Linked DNA regions of Diceros bicornis minor. The protein of the gene in region 1 interacts with the protein of each later gene in a biochemical or structural test. Links are inferred from orthologs where the notes say so. Each region holds a gene or a part of one and is shown in the gene's direction. Other genes may lie near its edges. The genes, in order: PJA1 and MAGED1.

Region 1 (9,355 bases):
ATCAACAATCCAAAGAGGCTTATGCACCCCTATGTTCATTGCAGCATTATTCACCATAGCCAAGAAGTGGAAGCAACCTAAGTGTCCCTCGACTGACGATTGGATTAAGAAAATGTGGTATATATATACAATGGAATACTACTCAGCCATAAAAAAAGACAAAATCGTCCCATTTGCAACAACATGGATGGGCCTGGAGCGTATTATGTTAAGTGAAATAAGCCAGAAAGAGAAAGACAAACACTGTATGATCTCACTCATATGTGGAATATAAACCAACACATGGACAGAGAAAACTGGACTGTGGTTACCCGGGCAGTGGGGGTGGGGGGTGGGGGGTGGGCACAAGGGGTGAAGGGAGTCATATATGGGGTGATGGACAAACAAAAATGTACAACCCAAAATTTCACAATGTTAGAAACCATTAAAACATCAATAAAAAAAAAAAAAAACAACAAAAAAGAAGTTCTTCAGAAAGAAGAAGAATATAGGTCAGAAACTTGGATCTACATAAAAAAAGGGAGAGTGTTTGAGAAGGAATAAATAAAGGTATAAATAAAATAAAATCTTCCATTTTTCTTATTCTTAACTGACCTAACAGATAATAGTTTGTTCAAAAAATAATAATAGCAACAATGTATTGGATGATTATAGCCTACAGATAAGTGAAATGAATGACAGTGGTGTTATAAGGGACAGGAGGAAGGAATTGGGAATACTCTGTTATAAGGTACATGCACTACCCATGAAGTAGTATAGTGTCATTTGAAAGTGGGCTTGGATTAGTTGTAAATGTATATTGCAAACTCTAGGGCAACCACTAAAAAATGTAAAAATAAGAAATATAATTGAAATCCTAAGAGAGGTGAGAAAATGGAATCATATAAAGTGCTCAATTAAAATCAGAGAAGAGAGAAAAAGAATGGAAGACAAAAAGAGAGAAACAAAGAACAAGGACAATGAATAGGAAACAGTTACAAATACGGTACATATTAATCCAACCATAACAATAATCATTTTAAATGTGAATGGTCTAACTACACCAATTAAAAGGCAGAGACTATCAGAATGGATTTTAAAAAAGACCCAGGGCCGGCCCTGTGGCTTAGCGGTTGAGTGTGCACGCTCCACTACTGGCGGCCCCGGGTTTGGATCCCGGGTGCGCACTGACACACCGCTTCTCCGGCCATGCTGAGGCCGCATCCCACATACAGCAACTAGAAGGATGTGCAACTATAACATACAACTATCCACTGGGGCTTTGGGGAAAAAAAAGGAGGAGGATTGGCAATAGATGTTAGCTCAGAGCCGGTCTTCCTCAGCAAAAAGAGGAGGATTAGCATGGATGTTAGCTCAGGGCTGATCTTCCTCACACACACACACAAAAAAAAATAAAAATAAAAAAAGACCCAACTATATGTTTTCTACAAGAAACCCATTTTAGATATAAAGACACAGATTAAAAGTAAATGGATAGAGGAAGAGATACATGCTAACATTAATAAAAAGAAAGCTGGAGTAGCTATGTTAATTCCAGACAAAGCAGATTTCAGAACAAGGAAAATTATCAGGGATAAATAGGGGCATTACATAATGATAAAAGGGGTCAATTCTCCAAGAAGACGTAACAGTCCTTAATGTGTATGCACCTGACAAAAAGGCATCAAAATACATGAGGCAAAAATGGGTAGGACTACAAGGAAAAATAGATGAATCCACTATTATAGTTGGAGACTTCAACACCCCTCCATCAATAATTGACAAATCCAGCAGGCACAAAATCAGTAAGGCTATGGTTGAACTGAATAGCACCATCAATCACCTGGATCTAATTGATATTTATAGATTACTTCATTCAACAACAGCAGAATACACTTTCTTCTCAAGCTCACATGGAATATTCACCAAGATAGACCACATCCTGGGCCAGAAAATACACCTTAACAAATTTAAAAGAATAGATATTATACAAAGTGTGCTCTCAGACCACAGTGGAATTAAATTAGAAATCAATAACGGAAAGATAGCTGGAAAATTCCCAAATATTTGGAGATTAAACAACACATTTCTAAATAACATATGGGTTAAGAAGAAGTCTTAAGAGAAATTGAAAAAATATTTTGAAATAAGTGAAAATGAAACTATAACAACAAAATTTGTGGGATGCAGTAAAAGCAGTGCTTAGAGGGAAATTTATAACATTGAATACATATATTAGAAAAGAAGAAGGATCTAAAATCAATAATCTAAGCTTCCACCTTAGGAAACTAGAAAAAGAAAAGCAAATTAAATCCAAAGTGAGCAGAGGAAAATAACAAAAGAACAGAAATAAATGAAATTGAAAACAGAACAATAGAGAATATCAACAAAACCAAAAGCTGATTCTTTGAAAAGATCAATAAGATTGGTAAGTCTTTAGCCAGGCTCACCACGAAAAAAAGAGAGTAGAGCCAGCCCTGATGCTCTAGTGGTTAAAGTTTGGTGCTCTTACTGCTTTGGCAGCCCAGGTTTATTTCCTGGTAGTGGAACCACACCACCCGTCTATCAGTTGCCATGCTGTGGCAGGGGCTCACATTGAAGAACTAGAATGACTTACAACTAGGATATACAACTGTGCTCTAGGGCTTTGGGGAGGAAAATAAAAGAGGAAGATTGGCAACAGATGTTAGCTCAGGGTGAATCTTTCCCTGCCAAAAAAAAAAAAAAAAGATACTGCCCCTACTTAAAAAAAGAAAAAGAAAAAGAAAAGAAAAAAGAGAATAGACAAAATTACGAATAACAGAAATGAAAGAGGAGCCATTACTACTGATCTCACGGACATCAAAAGGATAATAAAGACATATTATGACCAACTCCATGCCTACAAATTTGATAACTTAGATGAAATGGACAAATTCTGTGGCTCGCTTTCAACGACTAGGATATGGCAAAAGTGTTGGGATGTCACTTCTGAGCTTAAGTCATAAAAGGACTATGTCTTCCATCTTAGGTGCTCTTTGGCTGTTTCTCTCACCGACTGCCATGTTGTGAGGAGACTCAGGAAGCCCGTGGATAGGCCCACATGACAAGGAATTGAAGCCTGACAGCAACCACATGAGTGAGCTTGCAAGTGGATTTTCTGAGCCTGCCAACAGCCAAGTAAAAGAGCTTTGATGTGGACCTCACTCCTCAATTAAGCCTGCAAATGAAACTGCAGCCCCAGATGACAGTTGGAGTGCAACTTCATGAGAGACTTCGAACCAGAGGCACCCAGGTAAGCCGTGCATAGATTCCTAACCCACAGAAACTCTGATGTAATAAATCTTTGTTTTTTTAAGCTGCTAAGTTTTGGGGCAATTTGTTACACAGCAATAGATAACTACTATATACCCTTTGACCCAGAAACTTCACTTCAATGTACATACACTAGAGCAATTTTTTCCAATCTTTTTCACGTCAGAGCATATGTTAAAATGCTAATAATTGTGCCAGTTCATTGGGATGAACAGACAGTCTGCTCTTAGCCAGAGGCAACAGTCCCCAGGGCAGCAGCTGAGTGAAGCCAGGCCCATCTTCCTGGAGAGCTAAGGGCATTGATATGTCAGAATACCCATTACCCAGTTGGGAAGGTTTGCCCCAGAGAAACTCATCCATATGGGCACGAGGAGCCATGTGCTAGGATGTTCATTAAATCCTCATTTATAATTGCACAAAACAGAAACAACCCAAGTCTATCAGCAGGGAAAGAGATAAAGAAATTGGATAATTGATGCAACAGATGTCCATATAATATATTATAGTAATACTATATTGGAAAATTAATACAATAGTATTCAGCAGTTAAAATGCATGACCTAGATCTAAATGTATCAAATTGCTAAATTTCAAAAAAAATAAGTGAAAATTTAAGTTGCAAAAGAATGTATTTATTATAATAACATTTAAATAATTTAAAATACATAAAAGAATAATGTGTATTGGTTATGGATATATACATATGTAGAAAAAGAAAAACACGGACAAGAAGGAAACTTCTAAACAGTGCTTCTTTTGGGAAAAGAAGATGAATAGAATAAAGTGAGAGCTTCAACTCTAATATTTTGTTTCAAAAACAGAAGGATCTGAGGATCTGAAGAAAATAAAATTTGCTCACCCTGTGTGACAGGTACATGCAAATATGCATTTTATACTCTGTACTTTTCTGTATGTTTGAAATATTTTTTATAAAAAAATACATCATTTCTTGAGTCCAAAAAATATGTATACATTAGATCAGGCTTGTTCAGTGTGTTGTTCAATCTCTCTATATCCTCGTTTCTTTGCAGTCTATGTGATCTATCTATACCATAACAAGTGCGGTTGAATCTCTCACGATAATTGCAGACTTTTTCATCTCTCTTTACATTTCTAATAATATTTGCCTCATTTATTTTGAAATTACATTGTTTGGCATATAAATTTTAGTGACTATATCTTCTCAGTGAATGAAACAACCTGTTTTGTTCTCTTTAATGCTTTTTACTTTGAGTTTTTGATTTTTCTGATATTAATATTTCTACATGTATCTTTCCTTTCTTCCTTCTTTCCTTCTCTTTTTTTTCCCTAAATTCCTTCCTTCTCCTCTCTCCCTCCCTCCTTTCCTCCCTTTCTTCTTTTCTTCCTTCCTTCCCGCTAGTATTTCACTGGCATATATTTTCTATTCCTATTTCTGCTTTAGGTGAAACTCATATAAACAGCATATAACTGGATTTCTAAAAACGAAATGCTCAAAATGAGAGTTTGCTTTTTTATAGGAGATATTAACCCATAATACATACTGATGTATTTGCATTTATTCCTGCCCTTTGTTTTTTATTTTTTAACATCCTTTCTTGCTGCCTCCCACCCCATTTCTACCCTTTGTTAGACTGAGTTTTTCTCTTTGTTCTACATATTATTTCTTTAATGGTTTGAAAGTTATACAGCCTATTTCTATTCTATTGTTACCCTTAAAATTTCTTGTTCTTCTATTTTACATTTTATTTCCAGTCAGAACAAAACTTTGTTATTGTTGTGAACATAGATGTCTTGACATTCAATGTAAATATTAGAGATAACATTGTAAAGTGCGATTTATAAAAAAGAGTTCAGAGTTTAAGAAAATTGTATAACTCTAAAAGGCACAGCAATTCAATGACCAGAATGTGAACCCGTGTGTGCTTCATGATCGATCATTTCTTTTCATTTCAGTCAAGAAACTTGATTTTGCGATTAACAGCAACAATTCTACTGTAAACAGTTCAATTTGCTTCAACCACCAGGTTAAAAAAATTTAAGCTTACTGCAACCCTAAATACAGTTTCACATTTTTAATACTTCCAGTACAAGCCATACCACATAACATAGGATATGATATAGTCATATAATTACTTTCACATTGGAATTAATCAGAAAGAATTGCAGATTTCATTTTACTGGAAAAAAAAAAACCGAGAACAGAAGGGAATATGGCTAAATGTTTAACATTTGTTAAAGCTGGCTGTTGGTTACATTTTTCGCTGTCCTTTTCTGTATCCTTGACGATTTCATCATTTAAAATGAAATAATGCTTTCGGGCCCTCCTTGATTTGTCGAGAGCGGCTGCCACCCCCGCCACATCAAGGGGGCGGGCCCCAGCCGACGCCACAACCACTTCCGCCGCCGCAGTCGCCGCCCGCCCCACTGCTGTCTGGCGGGGGAGGAGCTGGAGACCCGGGAGCAGCGGCTCTGGCGGTCGTGGCGGTCGGAGGTCTGAGAGCTCTGTTCCTCTCGAGAGCGTACGGGGGTCGGGACTGGGTGAGTGAAAGGCGGTTTCTTTCCTCGATTTATTCAGACGCGGCAGTGGGACGACTGGCCGGGCATGGGCGGGTGGCTGGGCACGGAGGCGAGAATTGTGGGGGGCTCTATAGGACAGATTTTCAGGCTCGCCCCTCGGGAAGGGGTGGGGCGGACGCGGGACCTGACTGCAGAGTGAGGCCTGTGTCCTCCATTGGCCTGTTTTGGGGCTCCATCCTCCGTCCTCCAGCCCCTTTCGTGTGGCACGGCCCCCACTTGAATGGCTTTAATCGCTATATGAGAGGGGAGTGGTGTCACGGCCCTCTCCCACCTCTCTCTGCCTCTCCTCCCCCCCTTCCTTCCTCCCTTCTTGGCCCCTTTGCGCAGCACTCCGTGGCCTTTCTTCCCCCATTTTGCAGTTGTTTTGCTGAATGGTAAATTGTTAAGATTTTTAGGTAAATATATTGTTCCCAGGAAAAGAATTGGCAGAAAAACAAATTATTCCCCCGGGAAAACTATATCCACATACGCCCTTTTCTTTCTTTTTTCCCCTTCCCTGTCATATCTGTTTGGTTTGGATCTACCGTTTGGACTGATAACATTTTCCTGTCTCTCACTATGACATTGTGCCGCCCCCACCCCCATGTCTCCAAGTGCGCACATGGGGACACACACACACATGCACGCGTATACACACACATACACACATGCACACACACAGACGCACAGAAACCTTCCATTGCAGCCCCCTCTCCATCTCCCCATACTCAAGGTTGCGATGCATCCCCTCCCCCGCGCATGCATGGACACACACACGCACACACACCCTTTCACACATTGTCATACCGTCCAGTGCCTTTCCCTACCTCTCACTTCCTGTCCCATACACACTTCCAGAAGCGGCCCCCTCCTCCTTCTGCCTCTTCATGCTCTGGAGAACACACACACACACACACACACTCACACACTCACCCTCCCTCTGGGACCATCTTATCCCCTGCCTGCCACATACACACATAAGGATATCCTTCAATTGCTGGCTCCTCTTTCATATGCTGCTTACATACATATGCCCCCACACACACTTGTTCACACACCCCTCTTAAATGCTCCCCTCTCCTGTTCCCTGTCTGCTACTTGTATGCACAGACAGCCCTCCTTTGCTGGCCCCTGTGGTGCACACACTCACATAAATCCTTTTCCAGGGACGCCACCCCCTTCCCTGCTAGCCACATTCATGCATACAGACCTTCTTTGATTGCTGGCCCCTGTTCCGCCTGCCCGCCACAAGCACATCCCTCTCCAGTGCTGTCCTCATCGATGCATTTGCTCATATTGACATTTCTCCATTGTTGCCTCCCATTTTGATGAACACACACACAAACTCATGGACGTCCCTGTCCAATGCCACCGTACCCTTCCTTGCCTGCCACAGATGCATAAGCACAGGCATCCCTGCATAGAGTTCCAGCTGCCATACATACAACACCACACACACATTCTCTCTCTCATACTCACACACACCTCTCTCCTCTAAAGCCACCCCATCCACACCTGTCATTTTCATACATTCAGAATGGGTCTCATTCTGACACTCACACCTCTTCCCAATGTCACTGTCACATGCTCCTTCCCCCTACAAACACAGACATCTCTCCACTGCATGATTGCTGGTCCCCCTTCCACCTGCTTCTCTCCTCCTGCTAGACACATAGGCACTCCTGCACACATGGTGATCTATATTTTCCACCCTTTTCCAATTTGCATTTCTCCTGTATGTCTGCAGGGCTCCAAAAAACGCAGACACCCCGTAAAAAACCTGCAGCAGCCTTTCTTCTTCCCATGTTGGCACAATTCCACAGTACTTCACCCCCCTTCCAAGCATCCAGTCACCCCCCGTCTTCTGTCAGATTCTCCTCTAAGTGTGGCTTTCCTGCAAATCCAGTTTTGTAATCATTTTGCCAACATTAAAAATGTGTTCCAGGTCTACACCTGACAGTCACTGGAATGCTACTCCAGGCCTTAGAAGAAAGTGAAACTAATTTAAAAGGCCCCTTATTCTTTCTGTTACCTGCCTGCTGAAGTGAAAGTAAATCTCCCTGCTCCTTTATTCTGAACTGATTTGACTTTCCCATCTCCAAAGTGTGTACAGGGAGCAGGAGCCTTTCCACTCGAGCCCCAAGCTGTATTGGAAACCCTCCTAAGTCAGAGCAATGGGTCAGGAATCTAGCAAGCCTGTATGGCCCAAGCCAGCAGGAGGGTATCAGTCCAACACAGGCAGGAGGTATGGAAGGAGGCATGCTTATGTCAGTTTCAGGCCGTCCACGAGCCAGCAGGAAAGAATTTCCAGTCAGAGAAAGACGACATCTGAAGTCTCAATGCACAGATCAGCCCCCAGTCAAACCACCAAGAGGAGCCGCTCGCCATTTTCCACCACTCGTCGTAGTTGGGACGACAGTGAGAGCTCGGGAACCAGCCTGAATGTTGACAATGAGGACTACACCAGGTACCCGCCACGCGAGTACAGGGCTTCGGGTAGCAGAAGAGGAATGGCTTATGGACATGTTGACTCTTTCGGGGCAGATGATAGTGAGGAGGAGGGGGCTGGGCCTGTTGAGCGAGCACCAGTGAGAGGGAAAACTGGCAAGTTTAAAGATGATAAGCTGTATGACCCAGAGAAAGGGGTGAGGTCTCTGACTGGGGTGCCCCCACAGTTCTCTAGTTTTAACCGTGATGTGAGAGAGGAGCTTGACAAGTTAGACCCAGCCCCTGCAGCAAGATGCTCTGCTAGCCGAGCTGAGTTTCTGCAGCAAAATAGCATGGTCTCTCAGACACCTGCTGATGAAGGCAAAGTGGCTACAAATGGTAATAGCCTGGAGCGGGAGAGACAGGAGCAGAATTTGCCTGCACGTCCGGGCAGGGCTCCTGTGAGTATTTGTGGTGGTGGGGAAAACACCCCAAAGGGTGCAGAGGAACCAGTGGTGAGGCCCAAAATCAGAAATCTGGCAAGTCCAAACTGTGTGAAACCAAAAATGTTTTTTGATACTGATGATGATGATGATATGCCACACAGTACTTCCAGGTGGAGGGATACTGCCAACACTGATGACGGCCACTCGGATAGCCTAGCCAAAAGAGGCAGAGGCGAGAGTTCAAGTGGCTACTCTGAGCCTAAGTACCCTGAAGACAAGAGGGAAGCCAGGAATGACCAAGTGAAGCCAGAAAAGGTGCCGAGACGGCGACGAACCATGGCCGACCCTGACTTCTGGACGTACAGCGATGATTACTACAAATATTTTGGTGAAGACTCTGACAGTGACAAAGAGTGGACTGCTGCTCTGCGTCGGAAATATCGAGGTCGGGAGCAAAATCTGTCATCCAGTGGTGAAAGCTGGGAGACTCTGCCAGGGAGAGAAGAGCATGAACCTGAGCAAGCCAGAGTGAATGCCAGTGCCAGTGCCAGCGCCAGCCCCAGTGCTAGTGCCAGTGCTGGCAGCAATGAACTTGAAGAAGTTCGAGGACCATCTCTTCAGGAAGAGGAGCGGGCATCCCCAGAAGAAGAAGTTCCTTGGCTGCCATACAA
Region 2 (8,616 bases), about 18 Mb from region 1:
CCAAGCCAATTTTGAAAAAGAAGAATAAATTTGAAGGAATCACACCACTTGAGATTAAGATTTAGTTTAAAACTACAGTTATCAAGACAGTGTGGTATTGGTGAAGGGATGACACATAGATCAGTGCAAAAGAACAGAGGGTTCAGAAATAGACCAATACAAATATGGTGAATTTATTTTTTACAAAGGTGCATATTCAATGGAGAAACAAAAGTCCTTTTAACAAATGGTGTGCATACTAAAACCATAAAGAGATTCTATTACCTACCTGTTAGAATGGCTAACATGAAAAAAAGTATGAAGAATACAAAGTGTTGGCAAGGATGTGGAGCAATTAGTACTTTCACATATTGCTGGTGGGAATGCAAAATGATACAGCCACTTTAGAAAACATTTTGGCAGTTTTTATTTAAATTAAACATCCACATACCATGACCATTTATGAGCAATCCTACTCCAAGGCACTTCTTTTGAGAAATTAAAACTTATGTTCACACAAAAATCTGCATATGAATGTTATAGCTGCTTAATTGATCATCTCCAAAAGTGGAAACCACCCAAATATCTTTCAATTGGTGAATGGATAAACAATTTGTGATACATCCATACAATGAAATACCATTCAGAAATAAAAACTGATGAATGATTGATACATGCAACGACTTAAATGAATTTCAAAAGTGTTATCCAAAGTAAAAGAAGCCTGTTTCAAAAGGTTACATATTCTACGTTTCCATTTATATGACATTTTAGAAAAGAAGAAACTAGACTGAAAGAGAACAGGTGAGTCGGCCAGGGTTTAGGGGTAGGGAGGACTGTGTGACTAATACAGGATATCATAGGGACTTTGAGGGATTTAGGGATTGTCTTGTATTCTGACTGTAGTGTGGTTACATGAATCAATGCATGTGCTAATATTCGTAGTACTGTACATGCCAAAAAAGTAGTTTACTGCATGTAATTTAAAAAAATGACAAATGTCTTTATGCACCATGGAGAAATGAATGCCTACATATATAGTTAAGTGAAAAAAATCGTGGTGCGAAATAGTTTGTATCATATGCTATTGTTTGGTAAAAATGTAAAAAAATATATACAATTGTTTGCTTGCATATGTATAAAATGTCTTTGAAAGAATAAGAACCTCACTAGGTCGCTAGGGGCCAGGTATAAGATGGAAAGTTTTTATTGCATATAATTTTATCTCATTTTTTGGTAATTACTTTTTTAAATTATTCTTTGTAACTTTATTATAATAGATGATATATACAAAATAATATGTGTAATATATTTGTAAATTATAAACAGCAGTGGTATAATGAACACTTCTGAACCATCTATCAACTCAAGAGCAAGATAATTATTAATAAATTTTCTCTGGCTATGAGATCCTCCTCTGCCTCTCTTCACCTATCCCAGAGGTAAACACTATCCATCAAACCACATGTCTTTCTGTTTATATAGGTATGTGCTTCTTGTTTTTAATGATTGAAATTTTTTATCCTATTTCATTTTATCTCTCTATGGATTTAAATTTATGCATTTTGCTTATTCTATTTTTTACTCTCACTGTGCTTCTGCTATTTTAGTAGTAACTTCTGAATATTTATTACAATTATTTAACTTAATGTCTGAACTTTAAAAATATATTAACTTCTCTCTCAATTTAATTCTTATCTCCATCTTTTCTTGTTATATAATATTTTTGTTCATAATCTTTGAATCACCATTTTCTTCAACCCCACAACTCAGTCCTAATTATTATGTTTTTATACATACCATATTTGTTTTTTAGATTGACATACATGTTTATCATTTTAACTTGCTCTCCATTCCTTCTAGCTTTTCAGACTGTCCTTCTGGGATCATTTCCTTTTTCCTGAGGTGTAGCCTGTAGGGCAGTAATTTTCAATCTCCTCCGTGCATCAGAAACACCCTAAAGAGCTTTAAATTCACATATAAATGCCAGACCTCACCCCTAGAGCTTTAGGTTAATTTTGGCTGGGACGGGAACTAGGCATTGGTATTAAAAAAAGAAGAAAGACAAAAGGTCTCCTACTGATTCTAATGGGCATCCAGAGTTGATAACTACTGCTTTGTAAGTTCCATATTTATTACGTTGTTTTGTTTATTGCTTGTCTTCCTCACTAAAATGTAAGTTCCAAAGTGCAAGGATTTTTTTCATTCCTTTACTTATGCATGTCTCTCTACTGCCTTGAGCAGTGACAACCACACAGTAGTTGACCAACAAATGTTTGTTGAGTGAATGAAAGAAAGTGATAAGAATAGGATACATGGCAGAAGCAGAGAAGAGGAGCTGTTGTCTAGTTTTGGTTAAGGAGTGAAAGAAAGAGTCAGCATGGTTTCGTGAAAGAGATAAAATGTGAGCTGACCTTTGAAGGGTGAATATGAGTTAACAGAGTGTGAAAGCACAGAGATTTGAGATCCTGGCGCACTTTCCAAATTATAAGCAGTTGTGTGAGACTTGGACTTAGGGTAGAAGAGGCTGAGTGGTGAGAGATGAGGCGAGAGAGAGAGAGAGAGAGAGACAGAGAGAGAGACAGAGAGAGAGAGAGAGAGACAGAGTTAGACTACCAAGGCATTTGTATACCATGGTAAGGAGTTGGGATTTGGGGAGAAATATGGAGAGTCTGAACTAAGATAGTTATCTTGGTGACTGAGAGAAATGGATGAAATCTATCAATGTTGTTCATATATCACCCTTTTAGTGAGCCCTTCTGTAATGGCAGCCCCCTACCTCTCTCCCACACACATTGCTATCCTACTTACCTGCTTTATTTCTTCATAGCACTTGTCACTTTTTAGCATGTATTTTCCCAAAAATTTTGTTATCTGACACAAGAATGTAACTCCTGTGAGGGCAGAAATTTTTGTCCGTTTTCGTCACAGTTCTATCCTGAGAGCCCAGTGCATATTAACTGCTCAGTAAATATTTGTTGCATGAACTAACAAAAAATTTGAATGTAGAGAGAGTCAAGGAAAATACTCAAGTTTCAATGCCTCTGGATTTCTGATAATCCACTGGCTATTTTTTTTTCAGCTCAATTCCCAAATATAATTAATTCTTAATAGCACAAGCCCCTAACTTTCTGTATTTATTCATTGATTACCACAATATCCTCTAAACCAACGTCTCTGCCTCAGATTGCACCAGTACAACCCATTTTCTATATTTTGGTTTGAAATGTTACTGTATACTTTCTTCCTTAAAATTCTTCTTTGACTTTCTGTTTTCCTCATAATTAAGCTCAGACACTACAACATGGCATGCAAGATCCTTCTTTCTCTGGCTTCTTACATCCAGCTTCATCTCTCATCACTGCTCCTTTCACATGATACTTCAACTCCACTGCCATTATTTCCTTTCATTCATCCGTTCAACCATTTATTCAACATTGAACAAGTCTTTATTGAGCATCCTGTAGGACGTGAGGTCTATTTTAGGTTTTTAGTATTGACCAGTCAATGGGATAGTCATAGTTCCTACACTATCTCCTCTTTACTGATTATTATTGTCACATTATAGTGCTGCTAATTGTTTATGTGTTCATTTCCCTCACTGGTTGGAGGGTCTTGAAATCAGAAGTATGTTTTGTTCTTCTTTATATGGGAAGTATCAGGAACCGAACCTTATATTGAGTGGTTGTTCAAAATATGTTGGTTGAATGACAAAATATGAGTCAAAATGTTGAAATGAAGTATAAAAATACTAGCAAAAGTGAGGACCTTGTGCTGGCTCCCATCATTGCCCTGACCACATTTTGGTCATTTATTCATTGAACAAACATTGATAATCACCTGTTTTATGCTAGACTTTCATATGTTTAAATGTCACCTTTAGCCCCTAGTCTGTAGGCTCCTGGTGCAATGCTTCTCTATGTAGCATAGTGTTTGGGACACGGTAAGCACTCAGTACATACTTGTGGATTGAATGAAAATAATCACAAAAGAGGAGAACTGGGGTACAGATTTTGGACTCAAAAGAGCTTTCTGGAGTTAGTGGCAATGAGTAATTCAATATTGAACTTTTAACGAGAGTAAAGATTATTCTTATTATTGAAACTTTTTGTCAGTTGTCATTTTCTTCATTTTTGGGGGGAGTATATAAGTATACAAGAATGCTTTCTAAATGAATTCACCTTTATTTATTTGGAAATTTGAGTATGGCATGAAACTCTTTGGATATCATCCCAATACAAACATGATTCAGATTTAAGATTTTTTAAAAATCTTGAAATTGAAATATGCCACTAATAAAAATGAACTTTTTTTCAAAACTGTGTGTCAGAAAACAGTAAACCAGTATGGTAAATACGTAACTATAGACATCCAAAAGTTAAGGGACTAAGGGTAAAGGAGGTATTCCAAAGGCTGAATCAACAAGGTGAGGTGACAAATTGAATACGTGGAGTTTGGCAGAGATACTGCAGTTCCTGGGATGACTACAGCCGGGATTTGTAAACAGTTACTGATTCCCCCTCCCAGTCGTTTTACATCACTACCCAGGTTCTCATCCGCTGAGAGAGCCAATAAGTTCAAGTATTGCAAGAGCTTGCTAGAGAGGCACAGGAAGTTGCCTGGAGTGAAGTGTGGGCGGGTGGCGGCAGAAGCTTAAGCTTCTGCCAAACAAAAGAAAATAGCACTTCCGGTCCCGCCAACGTCGCGTTGCGGCTTTCTTCGTCAAGGTGAGTGTAAAGAAAGGGTCTGGTAATTCTTACAAGTGAATCCCCAAACGCTGTAGGGAAGCTTTCCTCTTTGCTTCAACACGGGATGGAAAGAAGAATTCATCTCCAGAGTCCATTGTATGAAGGGTGTTTCTGATCCTTGTGGTTCCGGTCGCCTCCCTATCTCCTCTCTCCTACTCCAGAGATGGCAGGCGGTCGTCCCCTCCCCCTTCTGACTCTTGTGGTCCTTTTTGTCAGTGGTCATTCTTCACCTCTCCTCATTATCCCCGATCCTCTTCACGATCTTTCTGAGCCTGGATCATTCCCTCTACCACAGATTTCTTTCTTACCTCTTACTCCTACCTTCCACTCCACCCCATTTTAGCCTCAGAACTTTTGCAAACCCCTTCCCCCACTCTGAGCCCACATTCTTCCTTCTGACCCCAGTATCTTACTCCTCCGAAGGCTTCGGATCTCTCCTGTCCCCCTCCTGCAGAGGCCAGTGAATTATATACTTTCCAAAATCGGGTATGACTTCAGTTTCAAGGCCAGGGCTGTTTTTGTTCTTTTTAGAAATAAGCAAAGAAGCAGAAATTTTAGAGCCCTAAGAGACATAGGGACTCGTTCAAATTATTATGTTCATTTACTTTATTTTTTTACTGTAAACAAAATTACACAGAAGATATTGCACTGGTTTCAGTCCTCTACTCATGACATTAAAAAAAAATTACTTAGAATTGAATCCTCACAGTTTTAGAGGGGCAAACATAGTGGGTTTTGCTTATAACCTGGTGTCAGCTTTAGAGGGTGGAAGCTTTGCCATTCCCTTTAGAACTTCTCATAGGGCAGAAATGGTTGACAGATATGACATCCAATCACAAATTTATTATTTCACTTGAGTTGGGTTTATTATGCAGATCCTTTTCTTGTCTCTGGCAGCGACATGGAATAGCAAGCTGGCAGATTTTTCAAACAGATTTTTCCTAGGAGCTTTGCAAGTATTACCTATTTGGTGCAATGTAAACTTTTGTCTTTTTTTTTTTCGTTTTTTGCAACGTAAAATGTATTTTTCTGTTCCATTTGTCATGTGTAATTTGTCTTATGAGAACATTAGTTTATAATCACAATTTATTATTTCAGTTCTTTACCCAAGTGAGGGGAGATGATCGTTAAATTTATAATGAAAGTCAGGATTTTTCAGGCTCTAAAGAGGAATTTAACAAAGGCTCTCCTTGAACAAGCAATTTATTCCCTCTTTCTCCTGTAACTAGTGTATTATGCTTGCCAAAATAAGAGGTGATTCTTTTTTCTAGGCCGAGTATAATTTTCAGTTCTTTTAGAATAAACAATGAGGCAGAGATATCATAACACCAAAACACTTAGGAACTTTTTCAAAGGGTATTGCTGATGTCTCTATTCTCTATTCAAACCGTAATTACACAGCGTTTAAACATCATCACACTGGCTTCAACCCACTGTACATCCATCCATCCATTTATTAAAGAATTTTTTATTGAATAACTTTTATGTGCCAGACAGTGTTCTAAGCACTGAGGATACAACAGTGGAAGATAAAAACACAGTCTTTTATAGTTGAGAGATAGACAATAAATGAATATATAATAAATATATAATAGGTGGTGATGGGGAGGGGCTGTACTATTTTAGAAAAGATGATCAAGAAGGCCTCCCTAGTAAGGTGACATTTGAGCAGAAACCTAAAGGAAGTGAGGGTACAAACTATACAGATATTAGTGGGAAAACAGGATATAATCTACGTCAGTGTCTCTGCATTTTTTGTTCACTCTGCTTTCTACACTTCCCCTCACCCCACCCTGCCCATGGTCACTTTTCTGCATAACATAAATGCAGCACTCTACATACTCAAATAATCTAATCTGTCCATATAAATTCCCCATATTCTCTTCCTGCCTAGCTTCTTGCTACCATTTAGGTGAATCGTCAGTTACCAGCCCCTATGGGAAGACATCTCTATCTCCATCCTCACCTCTTCCTCAGTCTGTTTATTTGTGGTGCATTGTGTGTTATTGGACACCATATTTCCTTACCTCTCTCACTGCTCTTATCACTGCGTGTTCATATGTTGCCCATAAATATTTGGTATGGTAAATTGAAATTAATTCAGTGCTTATCTGTAACAGACAAGCTTTTAAATATAGTTGTCCCCCTAATGTTAAAAACCACCCTCTAAGGTCAGTATTACCGTTGTCATTTTACTGATGATAAAACCAAGGCTCAGAAGTGGATAGTAACTTGCTAGATGGTGGTGGAGTTCATGGAGTTAAGGTCTGTCAGACACTCAGTCCTGGCCTGGTTCTCTCTTTCTCTCCATCTGCCTGTCTGTTTGTCTCTGTTTATTAATGAGAAATAGAAAATATACAGAATATTTTATTTTATTATTTTATAAGACATAATCTGGGTGTAGAAATTTCATTTTGTAAAGTTTCCTTTCACAAATCGGATTATATCAGGTGCTTGAATTAGTTCCTAGTTATAAATATTAAGAGCTGAGGGGCATGATGAGTCTTTTTATTTGAACGTTTTTTAATAAAAAGTTTAAACAAGTATAAATTTAAAGAAGAGTTACAATGAATACTTTTATACTCCGAACCTAGATTCAACAGTTGTTAACTTTTGCCGTATTAGCTCACTTGTTCACTCACTTGCTTGCTCTATCTATCCATCCATCCATCCATTTTTTTATTGAGATATAATTTTTTGTATATTTTTTTAATCTATATTTTGGCTGAACCATTTGAGATTGGCAGGCATTGTTTTTAAGTAAACTTAAAAACATGCAGAAAGATGCACATATCGTAAATGTACAGCTCAAAGCATTTTCACAGTGTAAACACACCTGTGTAAACCAGCATTGAGATTAAGAAATAGAACATGATCAACATCTGAAAGCCCTTGAATGTATTCCCTGCCAGTCACAACTAAACTCCAAATTAATCACAGTCCTGCTTCTATGACTGCTATCATTTTGCCTGTTTTTGGACTTTATAAAAATACAATAGTATAGTATGCATTTTTTGGGGTCTGACTTCTTTGGCTTAAGATTCTGTTTTGGAGATTCATCCATGTTATTAGGTGTTATAGTAAGTCCTTCATTCTCATTGCTATGTATTGCATTATGTGAATATATTATGATAGATGAGCATTTTGGTTGTTACCATTTTTGGCCTGTAAATAGTACTGTGAACATTCTAATACATGTCTTTTGGTGATATATGCACACATTTCTGTTGGGCATATACCTTAGAATTGCTGAATCATAGGTTATGTATATGACTAGCTTTAGTAGATACTGCCAACCAGTTTCCTAAAGTGGTTGTACTAAAAAACTCCCAACAGAAATTTTTAAGAGTTCCAGTTGCTCTAGAGTATTGCCAACACTTGTCATTGTCTTTTCTTTTTAAGAAAAAAAAGTAGCCATTCTAGTGGTTATGAATGGTATCTCATTGTGGTTTTAATTTGCATATCTCTGGTGATAAATGTGTATCTTTCCATATGTTTGTTGGCCTGGATATCTTTTTATGAGGTGCCTATTCAAGTCTTTTGACCACTTTTTCTTTTGAACTGTCTTTTTCTTATTGATTTGTAGGAGATCTTTCTATATTAAGAATGTGAATACTTTGTTAGATATATTTATTGCAAATCTCAGTTACTTGCATTTTTGATCTCTTAATAGTGTCTTTTGATGAACTGAAGATCTCAATTTTAATATTGTTCAATTCATAATTTTTCCCTTTCGTGGCTACTCCTCGTTTGTCCTGGTTAAGAAATATTTGCCTTTCTCAAGGTCATGAAGATATTTTTTATGTTGTGTCTTTGTTTAATCCCTCACTTATATTTACGGTTCCTTTGTAATTGATTTTTGTGTATGTTGCCAGTATGAGTTATGGGT

Evidence for each region.
Region 2: the proteins of PJA1 (region 1) and MAGED1 form a complex in vitro, tested with the Homo sapiens proteins (2 studies listed by BioGRID, with this or other methods). The link is inferred for Diceros bicornis minor from reciprocal best matches to the Homo sapiens genes PJA1 and MAGED1.

What each region holds. Positions count from the first base shown.
Region 1 is NC_080781.1:62,652,998-62,662,352, reverse strand, and holds the start of PJA1 (E3 ubiquitin-protein ligase Praja-1), read left to right. Parts: upstream 1-5,709; 5' UTR 5,710-5,793; intron 5,794-7,756; 5' UTR 7,757-7,985; coding exon 7,986-9,355. UniProt on the Homo sapiens protein: Has E2-dependent E3 ubiquitin-protein ligase activity. Ubiquitinates MAGED1 antigen leading to its subsequent degradation by proteasome. May be involved in protein sorting.
Region 2 is NC_080781.1:44,340,207-44,348,822, forward strand, and holds the start of MAGED1 (melanoma-associated antigen D1), read left to right. Parts: upstream 1-4,626; 5' UTR 4,627-4,706; intron 4,707-8,616. UniProt on the Homo sapiens protein: Involved in the apoptotic response after nerve growth factor (NGF) binding in neuronal cells. Inhibits cell cycle progression, and facilitates NGFR-mediated apoptosis. May act as a regulator of the function of DLX family members.